Drosophila melanogaster: one gene and its partners. The protein of the gene in region 1 purifies or fractionates together with the protein of each later gene. This does not show direct contact. Each region holds a gene or a part of one and is shown in the gene's direction. Other genes may lie near its edges.

Region 1 (4,832 bases):
TGCAGTATCATCAAATTGGCAGATTTGTGTTGTTGCTGGCCAACACAATTCAATCAGCTGCTGGGCAGCTAATGTGGGCCGAAAAATTTCACAAAAAAATAATACACAACTGTTAACATATATTCATGTTTATTTTTATATTAATGATGACCAGCTAGGCGTTGTGGCAAACCAAATGAATGGCGCCCAACAAGGCGTTGTGAAAATGTTTGCCGATTACTCAGCTGATAGCGGGGAAAACAGAGTGAATGAACGCATATATACATATGTGGGAAATTCTATATTATTTATGGAAAGTAACATCATTAGTGGGGATCATGGAGATTGAATACAATATTTAATAAAAGTTAAGACATTTCCAGTAGGTACTAGACACGGTACATAATCATTTCTGTCAAGAAATTGTATTTCCTCACCTGTGATAATTGGCCACTCGCATACTTATCTAGATTTAAATATACAAATTTCGTAAGTTCCTTACTAAAAATAGAATTCCAAACTCTAGATACGTTTCTACGCGTAAGCGTCCAAGAATCTCTTGCAAAAACGTGAGAGCGCACGGTTTTCATTTAAATTATTTTTGCTTTCCCCGACTTTTCCATCTCATACACGGTTTTCCCACCCACACCAACACTCTCAACGAATTGAGAGAATATGTGTAGTGTAAACAACAAACGCATTTTTCCGTTTGTTATTATTTTTAAAAATTCTCATAGCACCATATAAGTCTATTAAGAGTTTTGATCATTAACTGAATAGCTTTCAATGATCTCGTTTGTGATTGATGAGTGTGTGCCAAGAAGAAAAACTCGAAGAGAAATGTTAATGGCCAAATAAGTTGGGGCGTATTAATTAATGTCAATTTGGCCAACCGAAAAAATCTGGCAAATCTATAAATGCACTATTCGCTCTATTAACAATTTTCCGTTTGTGTTTATGGCTTTTGGGTCCCTAACCAGCTATCCCCAAAACCAACAACCAACCCACCCACCCAGAAAAACAGCCCACACCCAACAAATTATGGCCGAGAGAATGCGGCGGTATATAAGTTTTGGTTTAGTTTTGAAATTCTTATTTCTAATTGCGAGTGCGTTCTCATCATCGCTGAGAGATTTCCATCGCAACCATGTATGGATTGGGCCAACGTGCAAATGTTGATTAAAAATTAGACAAAACAAAAAACGAACACGCCACCCATACATCTGCAGACACCTCCGCAGCTGCAGACAAAGATATAGCAACAGATACAAATACATATAAAGATAACGATTCGGATTCGGATGGAGAGCAAACATTACGCCTACGATTGGGATGCTCCGATCCGGAGGATCTTCTCGGGTGTGAGTGTCTGTGTGCCATCGCGATGTTGTTTACCAAGGCGCTCAGATCCGTCTGTTTCTCTGTTTCTCAGTCGATATTACACAAAGAGAAAATGTTGAAAGCTGTGACCTAAACATCACCAAGTTCACAAGCCTTTACTTAGCTTTAAACCAAATAATTAAAAGTATTAAATATTTTTCTGGCATATTTACTTAATAATATAATAATAATACTTAAGAAGTAGTTTGTGGTATGATATTTTAATATTAGAAAATCATTACACAATAGAAAATAGGTACAAAATTGATTATTTTCATTCCATCATATGCGCTTTACAAAAATCTATATTTTCTCATAACATATTTTGAGCCATCTTTCCTGCAGTGCACCATCTGGGAAATTATGAACGAAGCGAGCAGAAGTCCAAAAGCAAAAATCCAACGAAAACAAATTATTTTTAAAAGAAACTCAGAATCTCCCCCCGCCGGCGCAATGTGCATCCATGTGCACATGTGTGCCGAGAGGCGATTGAGTGTGCGTGCGGAAAATATCTAAAACGACTGAGGGTCGCCAGAATGGTATAAATATTAGCGCATCTCGGTCCAGCGACCACTCGCAGTTCTACAGCGAAAGTGTTGATTTGGATTTCTAGTTTTTCTTCGTCTAACGGTTAGTATACTCCACATCCACCAATTCCGTCTGTCTGGTTGACTTTTACCCAATCCGATGCTGGATCCAGTGTACAGTGCCCAACTTTCTGAAAAGAAAGATACTTTGGAAAGATAGAGATCTCAACAAACAACATATTTGACAAGGAGCAGAAAAAGTTTAATCAACGATCCTTAAATGTTTGGTTTTTAATAGTGACTAATTTTTGTTTAAAAAAACATTCTTTAAAATGTTAAAACTGAAAAATATTAGTTGTTTGATCTTAAATCAAAAATTATAATTAATTAAAACTTTTATTAAAGTATGTAATATTTTCAAAAGTTGAAGACAGCCCTTTTTTATTAATTTTAATGATTGCTCCTCTGCAAAGATACTCTTTCTTTTAAAGTCATACATGTTCTGAGGCAACACCTACACGTATTTCATAATTTCACACTTACACACAAGATTACAATTAAAATCCATACCCAATCCGAATACCGAAAGCCCACTTCTCACTTCTCCTTCTAAAAACCGCCTCCGTTCTCGTTGTTGTTGCAGTGAAAACAGCCAGTAGCCAAGATGTGTGACGATGAGGTTGCCGCATTGGTCGTGGACAATGGTTCCGGAATGTGCAAGGCAGGATTCGCCGGCGATGATGCGCCCCGCGCCGTCTTCCCCTCGATTGTGGGTCGTCCCCGTCATCAGGGCGTAATGGTGGGCATGGGACAGAAGGACTCCTATGTTGGTGATGAGGCCCAGAGCAAGCGTGGTATCCTCACCCTGAAATACCCCATCGAGCACGGCATCATCACCAACTGGGACGATATGGAGAAGATCTGGCACCACACTTTCTATAACGAGCTGCGCGTCGCCCCCGAGGAACACCCCGTCCTGCTGACCGAGGCCCCCCTGAACCCCAAGGCCAATCGCGAGAAGATGACCCAGATCATGTTCGAGACCTTCAACGCACCCGCCATGTATGTGGCCATCCAGGCTGTGCTCTCGCTGTACGCCTCCGGTCGTACCACCGGTATTGTCCTCGACTCCGGTGACGGTGTCTCCCACACCGTGCCCATCTACGAGGGTTACGCCCTGCCCCACGCCATCCTGCGTCTGGATCTGGCTGGTCGCGATTTGACCGACTACCTGATGAAGATCCTGACCGAGCGCGGTTACTCATTCACCACCACCGCTGAGCGTGAAATCGTTCGCGACATCAAGGAGAAGCTGTGCTATGTTGCCCTGGACTTTGAGCAGGAGATGGCCACCGCCGCCGCCTCCACATCCCTGGAGAAGTCATACGAGCTTCCCGACGGACAGGTGATCACCATCGGCAACGAACGTTTCCGCTGCCCAGAGTCGCTGTTCCAGCCCTCTTTCCTGGGAATGGAATCGTGCGGCATCCACGAGACCGTGTACAACTCGATCATGAAGTGCGATGTGGACATCCGTAAGGATCTGTATGCTAACATCGTCATGTCGGGTGGTACCACCATGTACCCTGGTATTGCCGATCGTATGCAGAAGGAGATCACCGCCCTGGCGCCGTCCACCATCAAGATCAAGATCATTGCCCCACCGGAGCGCAAGTACTCCGTCTGGATCGGTGGCTCCATCCTGGCCTCCCTGTCCACCTTCCAGCAGATGTGGATCTCCAAGCAGGAGTACGACGAGTCCGGCCCAGGAATCGTCCACCGCAAGTGCTTCTAAGCGATCTAAACACCACAGACACTGCAAACCACACGGGCATTGAGACCCAACCACACCACGCCACAGAACACCACACAACAACAACAAGAACAACATGAACAGCAACAACCAAATACCAAATCAAGATCTATAGCCTAGTGCTATTGATGATTAATCTTAAGTTAAAACCTCTTGCTGCCCTGCCATCCAAAGAAAACCGAAGGAACCGCGATTGTAACAGCATGTATTATACTTATATTAATATTTATTGGAGAGCCGCTTGATGGCGCTGAAGGAGGAGTTGAGGAGACACAAGAATGCAAAATTTTACAGTTTTAAAAATAAATTATACTAGCATCCTCTATAAATTAAATCTAAATTTTAAACGAAACGTATCTTTTATTCGCTGCAAGCGGCATGCTATGCGATTATTTTTAGCGACGCACAGGAAATTACGAAATTTTGCACGCCCACTGCAAAGAGCGAAATCTGGAGGTGGATCTCCTCGACTGGGGTGCACATACATATGTACATATGTGGCTGGGGATGAGCACGGTAATCCCAGCATAGACGCCTCCAAGACAGTCCATTTTTGCCCATTGCCAGTCGGTGCAGGAGCTGCCCCCCTCGTCGTGGATCTAAAAATACAGACCAAAGGAAACAACAAAAGCGGCAAATCAACATGCCGAAGTATTAACAAATGTCTTCTAAGACTACAGTCAACCCACAGTAGATTGAACAAATATGTGACTTTGAATGTCAGAATATCAACTTTAAAGGGATTCGAAAATATATATTTTTAAAACTAAACTAATTAGGAATACAAGAGCTCGCTGAAAACAGTCTTCGTTCAAGACCTAGTTAAGTATATTTTAGGTATGTTCCACTGTAACAATGTGTGAGATGGCCGTTTTTTTGGAGTTAACATAGCCGCTGGGAGAAGCGACCGCCGGCTGTCTTTTAAATTGCAGTGCCACGACCTCGGGGGCTGCAAAAATATCTTGGAATTTCAAGTACATTTGTGTGGCTGGTCCGGGACGCTTGTACTTGAAGATCGAGCAGACAGACGACACCAGGCAGATGGGCCTCCTCGGGACTCGGGATTCCTGGAATGGGGTGCCCAAATCGAAAATAGACGAGATACGGGTAGGGTATGTTGTACTGTATACATG
Region 2 (4,613 bases), on another chromosome or scaffold:
ATGAAAAGTTAGTCAAGTAATTCCCATACAGTGAATCACTAGAACGTACATCGGGCAGGGATTCAAAGACATCGGCTGGGTCCAGACCACCAGGTCCGAGGCGCTCCTTGCGCTCCTCCTCTTCGGCCTGGGCTATCGCCTCCTGGATCTTCTCCTGCGCACGCTTCTGGATACGTCCTTTGAAACCTTCGATCTCGCTGTCGAACTGCGCGCGGTACTCGGGATGACAGTGCTGGATCTTTGAGAAGAAGGAGCTGACACAGGCGCGAGGATCCACGTCCAGCTGTTTGGCCAACTCTAGAATGTACTGCATGCAAATGCACTGATGCGCCACGTGGGCCATCAGCTCGTGCTTCTCCTCCATTTCCAGGTTGATGGACCAAATGACTAGGTAGTTGGCCGTCTCCTCGCCCACCAAGTGAAGATGCTCCTGCAGAAACCGCTTCGAATCGTCGTACTTGCGCAGCATGCCATACTGCTGGCAGAGCTTCTCGTTCTCCTTGACGAATTGCTTCATGCGCTGCTCTCGCTCTTCCTCGGACAGATTCTCATCCGGCTTGCGGCCGGCCTTCTTGTTGATTACGGTCTTCTCAAAGCCGGGCTTGCTGATGGTGTCCACGTTCCAGGGTGTTTTCTTTTCCTTCTTAATCATCTCGCTCTCGATGCGGTCCAGCTCTTTGCCCTCGGCCTCGATCTTTTCGAGCTCTTTCTGTAGGCGATACAAATTAGGGATTAAGCATTGCGATGAAAGATGGATGGCCACTTAGGATGATAGTCAATCATAAGCTTGACAATAAGAATAAATTAGATGGATTGAGAACATAGGGAACTCCCAGACCAGGCATTAGCCTAAGCAACAAGTGCGCAGTGCATTCGGTGCAATGACCCACCTTCAGGGCCTCCTCGTCGCCATCCTTCTTTGAGATCCGCTCCTTGACGTCCATGAGGCGCGCCTGGTAGCTCTGGCGCTTTTTCTTAAGCTCGTCCTTCTCGTGGTCCATCTCCGCCATGCGCTCCACGCGCGCCTGGTGCCGCCAGCGGAACAGAGAAGGCGTGTCTATGTTTGGGTGAGTGTCGTCCTCATCATCCGAAATCTAAAAGGTAGTGTGCCGATTAGGAGGACTTTTTGGGTTGGCACCCAGCAGTGGGCTCACCTCGATGTTCTTCCACTTGCTGTAGTCCACCATTTTGCTGTTTCTTTGCTTCGGATTTATATTTGAATGTAAATGCTGCAGGTTTTTGTTCTTTTTCGGCTGCTTCCTTTTTTTGGATTGCTCTGGAAATTAGTGTGACCGCAGGGCTATTGCGGAATAATACCATAATAAGCCCCGCTTACTCTGGGGCCGCGCTAGGAAATAGTAGTCATGCATGAGTGCACCAGATTGAATTGAAATACCCTGTCGTTTTTAATTTATTTACATCATCTACTACTACTCATCTACATCTACTAGAAAAATAATGAGATGACTAAGGCGCCAAAGCGACCAGAAAGAGAACTATGTTTATAATCGATTGACATCGATAGAAATCGCGATATTGATGTCAATGTTCTGCGCCAATCGGCCGACATATTGAAAAAAACTGCGGTCCCGTGAAATAGAGGCGCTCCGTGAAAATTACGAATAACTACTGCAAATCAATAGTTAAATTAACAAAGTAACTGTGAACAAATAGATTGCCATCAAAGTGTAAGTTTCTACATAGTTTTCGTCCGTAGCTCACTGTTAGTTGGGTTCAAAATGCAATTGAAATTCGGTGTGCGTGCAAAGTGAAAATTTTTCGGGTCAACGCCACACCCTCGAAGGCAACACAAAAATCCAATTAACGGGGCTAAAGTGAGAGAAAAGTCTTGGCCATAACTGAAAAGCTATGCTGTGCAATGTCACTGCTTGATTAGTAATAGAAATTTTGAATTTCTTTCAAAATTCTTGACTCCAATTGCAACTTAAGAAAAAGTATCTGGTGCTCCTGTTGTGCATGTGTGTGTGCGGTTACGCAGGAGTAGAGAACGCTGTGTGTGTGTACGTCATCGGGTGGTGGTGGTGGTGCGGCAACTTCAGATGAGAGAAAGCGGGAGAGCACACTCTCCCTCTCTTTGCTTGTTTGTGTTTCCAAGATATTTAAGTACGAATAAAAAAAAAGCAAAGTGCTTGCCTTACATATGCCAAAGTTTTGGGTGGGCAAGTGTCCTTGACTTTCTTGAAGGCCTGTGTTTGCATAGGATATTTTTGTTTGCTTGCCAGGCGATTCCGTGTTCGTAGTAGTCTTGCGTACCAGTTGATTTTTTGTGCCTCTTCATTGATTGCTCATAATTCCAAAGCGTACGCATTACGTCATCCTCTGCTATTTTCTGATAGACACTTCAATTAATGTTTCGCTCTCTCCGTCTCTTTCTATTCGCTCTCTTTTTGAGGTGCGATCTCTCGCAATTGCCGTTTCTGATGTTGTTTTTGTTTGCCACCGCGATAAACAGTTAAATTGGCCTGCCTGTGTGTTTGTATGTGAGCTCCAACATTGTATGGCTGCCAAGCCCTGGGCTGTTGCCATCTCCCTCTGATTTATTTCAATTTCCTGTGGCAAAGAGTGTTGTTTGTTTGTTTCTCTGCATGCTGACCCACCCTCTCCCCTAAATGATGTCATTGCTTGCTCTGCTGACCCCTTCTAAAGGGGCGATTTTGAAGTATTAAGTATTAAAATCCGGACATTCCACGGATTTCCTTATCGTTAGTGCTAATTGTATTTCATGTTACTCTATTGACAAAAATTCACTCCTTGGCTTTTCTCTATTAATCATTCTTGGCCAATCTTAACTATTTTACCTTCTGTGTAGTGTAGCTGAGAATTTCAGATATTTCTCTGCTTTTCTTATCTGAGTTGTTTTTTTTTTTTTTTTAGCACTAAAAATTGGAAACTATTAGAAATGTGATTTTATGGGCTATCAACTAAGTTTGGAAATTAAAATAAATGATATCTTATAAGAATTCATAGAAAATATTTATACTTTAACAACAAAAAATTGTTGATGCAATATTTAGATACTTTTAGAAACCTACTATTCTTTTATTGTTAAGGTTAATACCTTTACAAATTTGTTTAGCATACATGTGCGTTTTTCCAAACCTGACCTACAAATATATTCCTCATAATTTCCCGCCTAACTATAACCTTATTACAACTTTTAGTACAGGTGATGAAGTCATCACAACTCGTAGCATTTTACGTGTCGTTTACGTTGATTTAGTTTATTGTGTGAAAACATATTGTTTATACAGAAAAAAAAGAAAATCCTGCAACTTCAACCCATCCAAACAACTCTAAAAATAACTTAGAAAACGAAACCCACAAAAGCCGAGCCAACATTTCCCTTCTCTCCTCTTCCGTTGCAGGGAAACAAAAGGGAGAGAGGGATTGGAGGAGGGCCAAAGGTTGAAAATAGCTCGAGCTAAGGCACAGAAAATAGATCACCGGAACATGACTGCAGAGCTCAAAGCGTCAGATACAGAAATGACGAAGCCGGAAGAGAGGCATCTGCTGCAGCTGCTTGCGCAACTGGAGAAGGTGCCGCACCACCAGCTGGAGCAAAAGTTCGTCGCCTATTTTAAAAAGGTTGGCAAGGGTGATAACCAGAGTAACTGCACACTAGAGGACTTCGCCACCTACTTTTTAGGTGCACTGCGTCAAAGCACAAAGAGGTACTACTATTCGCAAAACTCGGAGACACCCGTGTTTCCCTTGACCCCCATCCATCAGCTCAAGCCGCCGGTCGCCGATGTGGTCAAGGAGGAGGAACAGCAGCAGCTCAATGAGTCCTCGATCCTTAGCCGGAGCAGCTGCAGTATGTCCTCCACTTCGAATACTACTCCGGCTCCCCAGCAGCCGCAGGGCAGAAGATCAACGCCAGGAAGTGGCGCCCAGTTTTGCAGCACGCCTAACAGAAGCGGCGGTGGGGGAGCAGGAGGAGGGCACAGCATCTGCTTGGGCAACTTTCTGGTCAATACACCTATCCAGAGCCATCAGCGATCTAAGAAGAAGATCACGCCCCAAAAACAGCAGCAAAATCAACATGCATCATTGGGTTCAGGAACTGGAGCTGGAGCCACGCCACAATCCAAGCCGCGGCGACGTGTCTTACCCATGACCATTAGCAAGAATGTTTCGGCCAGCTCCTCTTTCGGAGACACCAGTTCCTTTAGCAATGAAAATAACTTTTGGCGAATCTCGCAGAGCAGCGAAATCTTCGATAGAAGCCAAGAAGCAGCCCTGGAAATGGAGGCCCGCAAGTTCCTGTTGCTCAAAAAGCAGGAAATCAAAAGCGAAGCGCCTGTGAATGTTAGTCAACAGGAGAGGACACCCGAAGATGAGGTTTTCCCTGAGGAAGCCATTAGCTTGGAGGGTGTGGCTAATGCCAATCACTTGCAGCTCCTATCAACCATTTACAGCCTGTTAATGGACCTCAATTTGGTGCCCAACGTACTACGTGAACTTAGTTTTGTGGTCCATCTGCTAAATGTGCGAGATTTTGGCCAATCACCCGTCAAATCGTATGTACCCAGTGCTTTGGAGGGACTCACCCAGCACAAAAGTTGTGTATACTTTGCCGCAAAACTGCTGGA
Region 3 (4,861 bases), 2.5 Mb from region 1:
CGCTGTCGATGTTGCTAGTGCTGTTTGTTTGCTGCTGCACTGCGTCCATTGTGATATAATTATCCAATTAAGATTAGTCAAACATTTGTTTTTGCGCCTCTGTTTACTTTCCCGATGCTCGCCGTTTATCTTCAGCCAAAACTCTCGCGTTGATCGAGTTTTATCTGCTCTTTCCGACCAACTACCTTTATGGCTGAAACGATACTGAGCGGGTTTGCCACACTGCGGATCTGGCCGCTCATATGCTTGCTGAACACACAAGTAGTTCCCCCGAAAAATTGGATAACACGCTCTCCCTCTCCAATTATTTTCGTTTTCGGCGCTCTCTGGGGGATCATTGTTGTGGTTTGTTTTCACCTCGCGAGCAGCCTTTTGTTTACTCAGGAGCGGATTCGTTGGGCCCCCATGCCAAATTTCAAGTTTGAGGACATAAATGACAATGTGCAGCATATGGTATAATTTATGCGGCCAGTCAAAGTAGGAAAACAATTAGTTTCCTAAAGAAATAAAGCTAAGCCAAACGAATATAAATAAAATGTAACTGAAAAACTAATATTCTGTTTTACCTTGGATAATCATTTATATTTTAATTCATTTTATAAAAAGGTTTACAATTGAATCAGTCTTTAAACGTGCATGAATGAAACCAATTATTCTTTTCCACAATACTTCTAGTACCTATAGATATTTAAAATTCAATTCATATTTTTGTGGGAACATATGGCACGTGGCAAGCCTACTAATTTTTGGTACTTAAGGAATTTCATCCAAAGTCTCTTTTAATTACTAACATCGTGTCTTGAATCTCTCATCTGGAAGTACTAAACAAATAATTTAATCACGCACTTACTAATTTGTTTGTTTCAGCGAATATAGCGTCATTTGTATTAAAGTCTCGACTGTAATATAATTACTTCCAAATTGGGCTTAAACCATACTGTGTTTAACAAAAAAAACTTCAACAGGAAACTGTGACGTGATTTGAAAAAAAATTGACAATAAATTGTGAACAAAATATTGTATAATTGAACACCTATAATTGCAGTGCGAAATTTTCTTAGGGCTTGATTTTTTTTTAATATCAACAAGATTTTACTCTTATATTGTCTGGACTGCAGTTCCTACAATTAGTTGAAAATAGTCTTTAAAACGTAAATAAAATTAAATACATTGTCGCCAAAGATGGAATGACGAAAACGACATTAACTTTCACAATCTAATACCAAGATATCCATCATGCTATATTTAAATTAACCTTGATCAATAATTATTCAAGGCACGGGAAAACAAATAGCTCGTCACGAAAGGTGTTATTTGTTTGCAGTTTGCTTTTGGATTGGATCCACCTGGTAGAAGAATTTAGTGTACTAAAGGAGAGCTTTACAAATATTGTAATTTGATACATTATGTTTTGGATTAGCATTTGATTTATTCTTCACAGTGAAGCGAATTGTTTGCTTTGTTACAATCATCTAATATTTTCGAATACAATGTTTGCCTTTTTTAAGCTTAGGTATAGGTAAATTTGATTATCAAGGTTAGTTCTTTATACTTAAAGTAATTATGTCTTGTAGTCTAGCCGAAAACTGGATTTTGCTGCTTCTTTTAATCTCCTGACTCCTAAAACTCCGAAGCTTCAAAATTCGGAGCGCGCGTTTTATTGATTCGCTTCGTTCTAATGTTGTGACAAGCAGTCTCAGACAATATTTACCAAATCTTACGAAATGAAAGACCCATACGTATACTTTCACCCAAGTTGACCTCTCTGGATGATAGTGTACGAAGATTATCAGCTCGGAAACTTTTGTAGCTTCGTTTGCTGCGTTTATTTTGTGTCAGTTGTTGTTGCCGCTCGGAAGTCTTTTATAAAGGCCAGTCGGGCTAGAAATTCTATTCAGTTCAAATATTAACGGCGTCGTGTGCAGTTGCCTGGCATTTGATATAAACTGTGAGTGTGAATTGGAAAATAGTGTTCTATCCCATCCATATTTATGCAAATATTTATAGTAGAGTGATTGCATTCGTAAATCGACGTTGCTTACAATTCCCGTTCATATAGTAGCAAAATAAACAATCCGTGTGCGGTGTGATATTTGAATGCAACGCATTTTGTTGGGTATAAATTGGCAGTGCTTGTTTGTTTGTCCGCCACTTGGTTTATTGAAAATTACTGATGGAGGCTTATTAAGGTAGTGATAGTGAATAAACATTTATAAAAATAGTACAGCGCCACGATAAGGCTAAATCTTTCACTTGTGCATGTGATATATTGATAAGAACAAATAGAAGATTATTGTTGAAGTAAAGAATAAACAAATAAACAAAACAACTGAATGGAGTGTTTGAAAAGATTTGTCATATTGCGAATCTTAAACATCGAAATATTAAGAGTCGACCTAACTAGTTTTAAAAATCTTTGAATTTTTTCATTTCTAATACAAAATGTGCTTTCATTTGTTTTGCTGGATTAATTACATAATTATATTTGAAGATAGCTTAGACATCACGACAACAAATATTTGTTTATAGCTCCTAAAGCTTAGATTACATTGCGCATTTGAAGAAAGCCACTGCCCAACGGTTAAGTAAGCTTTTCCTGTTCTAAGCCCAAGCTTTTAAGAGATAGCTTTGTTTTGGGGCCAGCACTTTGACTACGCTCCTTTAAAACGTCGGAAGGTCCACAGGTGTCACTGGAAAATGTTTGATTTGGGCGTGTTGGTTCGACAGGTGTCGTCCCATTTTGAATTTGTTATGAAATGTGACAGCAAATCGGGGGAGTGTCCATAAGTGGGCTCTACGCCTGATCGGAATATCAATTGTTTTGGGCAAATGACACACCTCAAAGCCCCCGTTGAACTACGCCTCTCTCATCTGGAAGTACTAAACAAATAATTTAATCACGCACTTACTAATTTGTTTGTTTCAGCGAATATAGCGTCATTTGTATTAAAGTCTCGACTGTAATATAATTACTTCCAAATTGGGCTTAAACCATACTGTGTTTAACAAAAAAAACTTCAACAGGAAACTGTGACGTGATTTGAAAAAAAATTGACAATAAATTGTGAACAAAATATTGTATAATTGAACACCTATAATTGCAGTGCGAAATTTTCTTAGGGCTTGATTTTTTTTTAATATCAACAAGATTTTACTCTTATATTGTCTGGACTGCAGTTCCTACAATTAGTTGAAAATAGTCTTTAAAACGTAAATAAAATTAAATACATTGTCGCCAAAGATGGAATGACGAAAACGACATTAACTTTCACAATCTAATACCAAGATATCCATCATGCTATATTTAAATTAACCTTGATCAATAATTATTCAAGGCACGGGAAAACAAATAGCTCGTCACGAAAGGTGTTATTTGTTTGCAGTTTGCTTTTGGATTGGATCCACCTGGTAGAAGAATTTAGTGTACTAAAGGAGAGCTTTACAAATATTGTAATTTGATACATTATGTTTTGGATTAGCATTTGATTTATTCTTCACAGTGAAGCGAATTGTTTGCTTTGTTACAATCATCTAATATTTTCGAATACAATGTTTGCCTTTTTTAAGCTTAGGTATAGGTAAATTTGATTATCAAGGTTAGTTCTTTATACTTAAAGTAATTATGTCTTGTAGTCTAGCCGAAAACTGGATTTTGCTGCTTCTTTTAATCTCCTGACTCCTAAAACTCCGAAGCTTCAAAATTCGGAGCGCGCGTTTTATTGATTCGCTTCGTTCTAATGTTGTGACAAGCAGTCTCAGACAATATTTACCAAATCTTACGAAATGAAAGACCCATACGTATACTTTCACCCAAGTTGACCTCTCTGGATGATAGTGTACGAAGATTATCAGCTCGGAAACTTTTGTAGCTTCGTTTGCTGCGTTTATTTTGTGTCAGTTGTTGTTGCCGCTCGGAAGTCTTTTATAAAGGCCAGTCGGGCTAGAAATTCTATTCAGTTCAAATATTAACGGCGTCGTGTGCAGTTGCCTGGCATTTGATATAAACTGTGAGTGTGAATTGGAAAATAGTGTTCTATCCCATCCATATTTATGCAAATATTTATAGTAGAGTGATTGCATTCGTAAATCGACGTTGCTTACAATTCCCGTTCATATAGTAGCAAAATAAACAATCCGTGTGCGGTGTGATATTTGAATGCAACGCATTTTGTTGGGTATAAATTGGCAGTGCTTGTTTGTTTGTCCGCCACTTGGTTTATTGAAAATTACTGATGGAGGCTTATTAAGGTAGTGATAGTGAATAAACATTTATAAAAATAGTACAGCGCCACGATAAGGCTAAATCTTTCACTTGTGCATGTGATATATTGATAAGAACAAATAGAAGATTATTGTTGAAGTAAAGAATAAACAAATAAACAAAACAACTGAATGGAGTGTTTGAAAAGATTTGTCATATTGCGAATCTTAAACATCGAAATATTAAGAGTCGACCTAACTAGTTTTAAAAATCTTTGAATTTTTTCATTTCTAATACAAAATGTGCTTTCATTTGTTTTGCTGGATTAATTACATAATTATATTTGAAGATAGCTTAGACATCACGACAACAAATATTTGTTTATAGCTCCTAAAGCTTAGATTACATTGCGCATTTGAAGAAAGCCACTGCCCAACGGTTAAGTAAGCTTTTCCTGTTCTAAGCCCAAGCTTTTAAGAGATAGCTTTGTTTTGGGGCCAGCACTTTGACTACGCTCCTTTAAAACGTCGGAAGGTCCACAGGTGTCACTGGAAAATGTTTGATTTGGGCGTGTTGGTTCGACAGGTGTCGTCCCATTTTGAATTTGTTATGAAATGTGACAGCAAATCGGGGGAGTGTCCATAAGTGGGCTCTACGCCT

Evidence for each region. Proteins that work in one complex are often made in the same cells at the same time.
Region 2: the proteins of Act87E (region 1) and alpha-Spec purify together in Drosophila melanogaster (affinity purification with western blotting, with the first as the bait; one study listed by BioGRID). This does not show direct contact.
Region 3: the proteins of Act87E (region 1) and glob1 purify together in Drosophila melanogaster (affinity purification with western blotting; one study listed by BioGRID). This does not show direct contact.

What each region holds. Positions count from the first base shown.
Region 1 is NT_033777.3:13,424,054-13,428,885, forward strand, and holds Act87E (actin 87E), read left to right. Parts: upstream 1-1,929; 5' UTR 1,930-1,989; exon of another isoform or gene 1,990-2,125; intron 2,126-2,393; exon of another isoform or gene 2,394-2,529; 5' UTR 2,530-2,550; coding exon 2,551-3,681; 3' UTR 3,682-4,322; downstream 4,323-4,832. UniProt on the Drosophila melanogaster protein: Actins are highly conserved proteins that are involved in various types of cell motility and are ubiquitously expressed in all eukaryotic cells.
Region 2 is NT_037436.4:1,792,274-1,796,886, reverse strand, and holds the start of alpha-Spec (alpha spectrin), read left to right. Parts: upstream 1-1,558; 5' UTR 1,559-1,688; intron 1,689-3,386; exon of another isoform or gene 3,387-3,471; coding exon of another isoform or gene 3,472-4,613. Other genes in the region: Cdc37 (cell division cycle 37), read right to left, coding at 50-709, 891-1,094, 1,155-1,187; dlt (discs lost), read left to right, coding at 3,472-4,613. UniProt on the Drosophila melanogaster protein: Spectrin is the major constituent of the cytoskeletal network underlying the erythrocyte plasma membrane. It associates with band 4.1 and actin to form the cytoskeletal superstructure of the erythrocyte plasma membrane.
Region 3 is NT_033777.3:15,901,589-15,906,449, reverse strand, and holds the start of glob1 (globin 1), read left to right. Parts: upstream 1-1,806; 5' UTR 1,807-1,948; intron 1,949-3,865; exon of another isoform or gene 3,866-4,007; intron 4,008-4,066; exon of another isoform or gene 4,067-4,248; intron 4,249-4,861.